2 linked regions of the Caenorhabditis elegans genome follow. The protein of the gene in region 1 binds, or shares a complex with, the protein of each later gene. Each region holds a gene or a part of one and is shown in the gene's direction. Other genes may lie near its edges. The genes, in order: csc-1 and air-2.

Evidence for each region.
Region 2: csc-1 (region 1) and air-2 share a complex: the UniProt entries of both Caenorhabditis elegans proteins name them as parts of the CPC complex.

Annotation. Positions count from the first base shown.
Region 1 is NC_003280.10:13,594,844-13,598,454, forward strand, and holds csc-1 (Chromosome segregation and cytokinesis defective protein 1), read left to right. Parts: upstream 1-2,111; 5' UTR 2,112-2,112; coding exon 2,113-2,179; intron 2,180-2,232; coding exon 2,233-2,521; intron 2,522-2,579; coding exon 2,580-2,675; intron 2,676-2,733; coding exon 2,734-3,031; 3' UTR 3,032-3,104; downstream 3,105-3,611. Other genes in the region: fbxc-23 (FTH domain-containing protein), read right to left, coding at 218-305, 353-618, 668-850, 1,312-1,606, 1,648-1,700. UniProt on the Caenorhabditis elegans protein: Component of the chromosomal passenger complex (CPC), a complex that acts as a key regulator of chromosome segregation and cytokinesis during mitosis.
Region 2 is NC_003279.8:5,935,738-5,939,704, forward strand, and holds air-2 (Aurora/IPL1-related protein kinase 2), read left to right. Parts: upstream 1-1,739; 5' UTR 1,740-1,746; coding exon 1,747-1,814; intron 1,815-1,863; coding exon 1,864-1,972; intron 1,973-2,048; coding exon 2,049-2,416; intron 2,417-2,479; coding exon 2,480-2,753; intron 2,754-2,853; coding exon 2,854-2,952; 3' UTR 2,953-3,139; downstream 3,140-3,967. Other genes in the region: B0207.6 (GPN-loop GTPase 2), read right to left, coding at 1-140, 468-666, 824-931, 1,049-1,207. UniProt on the Caenorhabditis elegans protein: Serine/threonine-protein kinase component of the chromosomal passenger complex (CPC), a complex that acts as a key regulator of chromosome segregation and cytokinesis.

The DNA of each region.
Region 1 (3,611 bases):
CCGCCGTGAGCTTGGTTCTGGAGTTTTGCCGCCAAAATTTCACGAGTAGCCGTTTTAATACATGCACTATCGAATCGCATAGGTCTCATATGCAAGTCCGATGGGAACCTTCTGACGGTTCCCTAGTTAGCTGGTGCACTATGAAATTCCTAACACACCCTCGATGCAGTACTAGTTTATTACTTAACAATTCCAGCTGAAAACTTAATAATACAGATTATTCAACAACTTGGATTATCAGCTGCTTTTGACTGTTCTTGAAGATTTTCACATTGGTATCTTTACTGGTGACAATCACTTGTTCCCTGAAACTTTCTTTTTCAAATAAATTCAAATAACTACTACCTCTTACCTATCTTCCACACTCCTTTGCACTGAACTTGCTTCAAACCTATTATCAATCGCCTGATTAACCAGCTCAAACTTCTCACGGAACACGAAAAGTGTCAAGGTGGTGCCCATCGGTTTTTTGTCCTGAATCCAGTTTTCGCAGAGATTTACAACTTTCGGGGAGGTCATATTATAATCTAAGAATATCCAAGGAGATTGGAGATTTGAAATCGCGCGAATCGGAATTGCACGTGATGATTTTATACACAGCTTCTTGGCTGAATATATCTGGAAGGAAACAACAAATTTCTGTGAATTTTCAAATTTCAGACTCTACCACAGGCTCCGCCAGAATCAAGTAATCCATTCCAACAAAATCCACCTCCGCCGTCTCGAACGGGCGAGCTCGGAGGCAATCAAACCAGGTCGTGTAGTCATATCTCAGGGATTCAATCCGCATTCTTACAAAAATGTGTCGAATATTCAATTGGCAGCACGCCTCGAGACCATATGGATGATTCTGCAAACGCACGACGGTCTCGTCACGACAAAATTTCGTTAATTGATAAAAGGTGTGCGCCTTTAAAGAGCACTGTAATTGAAAACTTTCGTTGCTCACGCGGGATCCTGGCCTTGCTCATTGAATTTTTCGCGCTCCATTGATAATCTCCCGCTGGACAACGCGTGGGAAAGTCGTGTACTCCACACGGACACGTACATTTCGTTTTACAACTAAAACCGAGCCGCGACGCGACACGCAACGCACCTTAAATCTACCCCAGATATGGCCGAGCCAAAATGGACTAGTTCGGCCTAAACTCTTCCATTTCAATTTATGAGGGAAGCCAGAAATCTGTGAAAACTAGAAGAAAATAATTAAAAACCCCAAATTTCCAACAAATTATAGAAAAAACTAGATAACACAAAAATTTGTAATTACAGTACTCTTTAAAGGCGCACACATAATCGCGTAAGAATTACCAGAATTTGCAGTGTATGAATACTTGTTCCTGGTCGATTTAAATAGAAATCCACCAATTTCCGAAAGGTTTCAGTCTGTGAATCTTCAGGACTTGCAATTAAAATTCCGAATTGTTGAACTCCACCGAATAAAACGTTGGCGCCAAGCTGAGCAGTTTGAATATTGAAATTATATTTTTTATCAATCGAAAAGTGCCAGTCCTCCCTTGTTGTATCGATTTTTATACAATTAAAGTGATAGGGAAGCTTTTTTTCAAGCTTGCGAAATATCGAGTTGAAATTTGCAAGATGGCTTCTGTAATCGTGTTTTCAAATGGATTCTAAAATAAAACCCACTTCTTGTCAAATGATAAATATTTGAATATGCATGGGACGCTTTCAGAATACATTTTAAGCTGAAATATTATCAATAATTGCAGCAAAAAAGGCAAAATTGCGAAATTTCTTGCTACGAAATTTTCTTCAGTGAAAATTAATTGTTCTAGTTGGTATCAAGTGTATGCAAATGGAAAAACGGTAAAAAATATATTTCAAATCATGTTTTCATAAGTTTGTCTTTATAAATCTTTATTCCAGACCTGTTTCCTTCTTTTGCGCGTGGGGTACGGTACGCAGTCCGCAAACACCGAATGCGAGCGCGAAAATTTTTCGATTAATTTTATAATTTTTTCCGCCATTTTTCTCATTTTCCACGCATTTTTCGATTTCTTTTGTGATTTTTACCTTAAAAAAGTTAATTTTCACGTTAATTTCCCTCAAAAATTCGATTTTCTCCGATTATTTCTCATTATTTTCTTCAGAATGCCACCACGCAAGATCAAGAAGGACCCGGCTGTGGTTGCGATGGCGGATACTCTCGAGACGCGTGGTAAGCTTGAAGATCTCCAGTAATTTATTATATTTAAATAATTTATTTTCCAGTCAAGGACTTACTCGAGGAGTATAAGAAGAAGCTGCGGGAGGTCGCCCTTCAGACAGCAAAGGCTGAATCCGACCGGATCATCGCCACAATCAAGCCAAAATACAGGGATATGCCGATCATGGAGTTTCTGGCATCGCCACCGGATGATTTCTACATTGAATCCGGCGAGGAGGAGGAGGAAGGAGAAGCGGCGGTGGCGGTTAAGCAGGAGCTTCCTTCCGAGCCTGACATGGAAATCGACGACGCGGCGGCGGCGCAAAAGACGAGCATTCCGATTGGCCAGAACTCGTAAGTTTTCAAAAAAATCCAAATTTCCGCCATTTACTTTTATCAATAAATTTTCCAGCGGCCGGAACACGGTGCAGGTCAAGCAGGAGCCTGAAATCGACGACGATGCGGCGCATGAGACGAGCATTCCGATTGCTCCATCTGGCCAGAACTCGTAAGTTTTCAACAAAAAAAAAATCGATTTCTCAATAAATAAATTAATTTTTTTTCAGCGGCAGGAACACGGCGGCCGACGAGCACCGCCGCAACGAGATCATAACGCCAGCTGGACAAGTGCTCCCACTGCCAACACTTCAACCGGAAAAGCCATTCCGTGCTCCACACGTTGACGAGGAAATCGCCTTCTCGGTGAACGGATCGCCACTGGTCTTGGCTGGAAGAACTACTGCTACTGCTGCTGGCAAGGAGAATCGGAAGAAGTCGAAGAAATCTGGTGCGGCGAGCAAGAAGGCAGCGGCAGCAGCCGGGCCTCTCCAGCCGGAAACTGAAAATGCCGGGACGTCTGTATAGGAAAAATCCCCCGATTTAATTTTTCCCCCGCTTTAATTTTTATAATGATCTGTAAATACTTGATATTTCAATTTTTCCCGTCTTTTACCTTTTATATGCAAATTTTTTGATCTCAACGATCGTTTGATTCTCTAAATAGACTGCAAAAAATTTGACTGCAAAAAATCGAAAAAAAATTAGTTTTTTTTCAGAGAAAATCGGAAAGAAAACTTCCAGCCTTCTTGTACTACTCTTGGACAACTGTGAACTAGTTATTTAAACAGTTTTTGACAAGAATCCGCGATTTTGTTCAACTTACGCTAATTCTTTTTGTGTTTTACATCAGCGGTGGACGCCAAACTGTCGGAATTGAAGATTTCCGGCAAATCTGTAATTTGCCGGAATTGAATATTTGCGGCAAATCTGTAATTTGCCGGAATTGAATATTTGCGGCAAATCTGTAATTTGCCGGAATTAAATGTTTCCGGAACATCGGCAAATTGCCGGTATTAAATGTTTCCGGAACATCGGCAAATTGCCGGAATTGAGTATTTCCGGTAATTCGGCAAATTGCCGGAATTGAGTATTTCCGGCAAATCGG
Region 2 (3,967 bases), on another chromosome or scaffold:
AACTTCATTCAAAAGATCCAAAAGTCGATTGACATCAGGTAAATGGGAGAAAAACTCGAGATCATAGGTCCCGTCTTCAGAGAAAAGATCTGCTTTTGACAGACAGTTTACTTGTGGCATCTCCATTGTTACCATTGTCGCTGAAATTGAAGCTTTTTAATGAATATAATTTTAATTTGTTCCTTTCAGCCACACAAAATTTAAAGTGGTTCCGAATTTCAATTTTTTCCATCTAAAATCAAATAAATAACAAAAATAGGTTTCAGATTAAATGAAAGTTTTATGTGCCAGAAAGATATTGCATTTCTTAGCCAGAAATACATAAAGGCCCATGGAGTTTCAAAATTGTACAGAACAAAAATAAATTTTCATTTTTTGGAGGAAATCAGCTGAATTATATTTGGAAATTTCGGGTCGAGAGACAAGAAAAGTATTTCAATTTTTTTTTAATCTTAATGAACTCTTACCTAATGTGGATAATGCAACAGAAATGAATTTCGATGGGTCACTGCAGTAAAGTGAATCGGCAAGATGTAAGGCACATAGTCTAACACCGGATTTTTCCAAAAAGCGGATAACTTTCCATAGTTCGCCTTCGCTTTTGTATAGTTCCAACTGTCCGGGACAATCAATTATCAGATATTTCTTGTGATTCGCTTCGATTTTCTGAAAAAAGATTTAATTGAATATTAAAACTACAAAGAGGTTAAAAATGATTTCCGATTTTCTCGATTCAAATTTAGAGAATTCCAGATTTTAGCTCAATTGTTGTGAAAACAATTTTTAGCTTTTGAGAATTAACTTTTTCTGCCAAAAAAATTACCTGGAGGAGCCAATTACAATTAGCTCCAAGTGTTTCAATACAGTATTTGAGAGCTCCATTTGGTCCAAGTCCAAGTCGATCCATTACATCATTCACAGTGATCATTTCCTAAACTTTAGTATTTTAAATGAAAAATATGACCTTAAGTATTAAAATAACATTGATAGATGATCTGTACCACGTTTCATAATTATTGTCCTATATTCATTGGAATAAAATACTTACAGTGATATTTACATCAGGTGCGTATGCCATTGTGTCATTAGCAGGATCAAGATTGATAGTGAGAAATGGTCGTTTGGTTTGTGAGAAAATGTCCGTTAATCCTGCACAAAATGTAGATTTTCCAGCTCCAGGAGCTCCAATTACAAGAACTCCGTACATAGTCCAATGAGTACTGAAATTTTCTAGTTGAATCTTAATTTTCTACGGATTGTTTTGATAGGAAAACATTTAAGAAGAACAAAAATATATAAATACAATTTAATTTAATTTAAAACAAACAAAAAAGCAGGATAAACGGGCCTGGCACAGGGCCAAGTACGCATTTACACCGTACATGACGACATATTGCGGACCATTGCATTTTGCCGCGTTAATTTTTTATTTAAACGGCTTGCATTTCTCCTTACTATCCAGCTGACAATTTTTAGTTTCTTTAGAATTATTTGCAATCAAAACTCGTTTTTTGTAAACATATTTACTCAGGTAATGTGTTGATTTCTCACTTTTTTTTGAAATCAAAGCAGAATTAGTCCTATTTTTATTCTACATAAATATCTAAATGTATTCAATTAAAAATTGGGCCATTGAACTTCTAATTAATTCAATTTATAAATTTATCGTGATGTTTTCTTTTAGTTAATTTGTCCTTAATCGTGCCGTCTATTTTATTTCTTCATAAAAAACTTTTCAGTTCCGACATGGAGAATAAGCCACCTGTAATCAACCTTCCAGAGAAGGAAACTGTGAATACTCCACAGAAGGGAGGGTAAGAAATCAAGGTTTTAAAAGTTTATAAATTATTCTTGATTTTACAGAAAATTTACTATTAACGATTTCGAGATCGGAAGACCACTGGGAAAAGGAAAATTCGGCAGTGTTTACCTGGCTCGCACAAAAACTGGACATTTCCATGTAGCGATCAAGGTAACATATTGATTTATTTTGTATTTATTTGAATTATCATTTTTCTGACATCCGTTTTACCCATACATATTTTCAGGTTCTATTCAAATCGCAACTCATCTCAGGAGGCGTCGAGCATCAATTGGAGCGTGAAATTGAGATTCAATCTCATTTGAATCACCCGAATATTATCAAGCTCTACACATATTTTTGGGATGCGAAGAAGATCTATCTCGTTTTGGAATATGCCCCCGGAGGCGAAATGTACAAGCAATTGACAGTGAGCAAGAGATTCTCAGAGCCAACAGCTGCAAAATATATGTATGAGATCGCAGATGCTTTGTCATATTGCCACAGGAAAAATGTGATTCATCGCGACATTAAACCGGAGAATTTGCTTATCGGATCACAAGGAGAATTGAAAATTGGAGATTTTGGATGGAGTGTTCATGCTCCTTCGAATAAGTGAGTTTATCCTCAAATTTAGGAAATCTAGATGTTTCCAAAAATTCACTGTCATGTTTTCAGGCGCCAAACAATGTGCGGAACAATGGACTATCTCCCTCCTGAAATGGTGAATGGAGCCGATCACAGTGACGCAGTTGACTTATGGGCAATCGGCGTTCTCTGCTATGAGTTTCTCGTTGGAAAACCCCCATTCGAGCACGAAGATCAGTCCAAGACATATGCGGCAATCAAAGCGGCACGGTTTACTTACCCTGATTCTGTGAAGAAGGGTGCACGAGATTTGATTGGAAGATTGCTTGTCGTTGATCCCAAGGCTCGCTGTACGCTTGAACAGGTTTGTTATTGATTTCAGCTTAGTGGCCAACATATTATCAGCACACAGAAGTACACTTTTGTAGTGTTCTTAATTATCATAATTCATTAAATTATTACAGGTGAAGGAACACTACTGGATCCAGGGAATGATGGAGGCAAAAATTAGAGCTGAGAAGCAGCAAAAGATTGAAAAAGAAGCAAGTCTTCGGAATCACTGATCAACTACTGATTTTCCCGTCCTTCTTTCAATCATCTCGTCTGTCTGTCAAATAAAGGATCTCATCACATTTACTAGAAATTTTAAAAAGTGAAATAACTTGTCAACCAATTTTTCATGTAGTTTTTGTTTCGCGAACTCTATTATTCCCAATCGTCTAACCCCATTCATTCAACATAAATTTATTTTCTTTTCTCGTTCTCCATCTTTCTCAATATATCTACAACAACTCAATTAGTACCTCCCGAGATTTTCTCCTTTTTCAGATGTCGCGTAGACTCGCACTCGGAGCAGCTGCTTCTTTTCGTTGAGGTTCATTTGCATTTTTAGATTTTTGAGAAAAAAAAAAAAATAAAATTTAAAAGCGACAAGAAAATTTCGATTTTCTTTAGGATTATTTTATCACACCGTGCGACTTTATAGTCCCAAAAGGAAAAATAACAACTAAGCTTAGTACTGAGTACACTTGAAATTTCAAAACATGAGGTTTTTGAAATTCACGTGCTCCAACAATTTCAAGCACTTCTTGTGCCCTTTTTAAGTCCTCGAAAACTTATAATTTTTTCAGTAAGTGGTGCGGGGACATTTTCAAAAAGTTGTTTTTCTCAAACAAAGCATATTTCACAAGATGTCATTCTGGACAACAAAAAATTAAATTAAATTTTTAAATTACAGGGAACTTTTACCGATTAAGCGCGGGCGGTGTAATTATAGGTTTCGATGATGTGGTACTTTGGCTATAATTTAGTTATACAACTAGAATTTTCTAATTTTTTTATTTTCTTTCGAGATTTCTGAGAACACATTTTTATTTGAGAACTCATGCTAATTGCTGAACCGTTTTCTCCGATTTCTTCAAAAATCTCACATTTTTTGTCTGATTAAGAAAATTAAAGTTTCATTTTTCACTTGTGAATAACGCATCTTTTGAAATCAGAATGCAATCGCGCTCCAACGCCAAATAGAAAGACTCCGCCCCGATAATTTGGGTCTCGTTAGGTATTTGCGGAAAATAC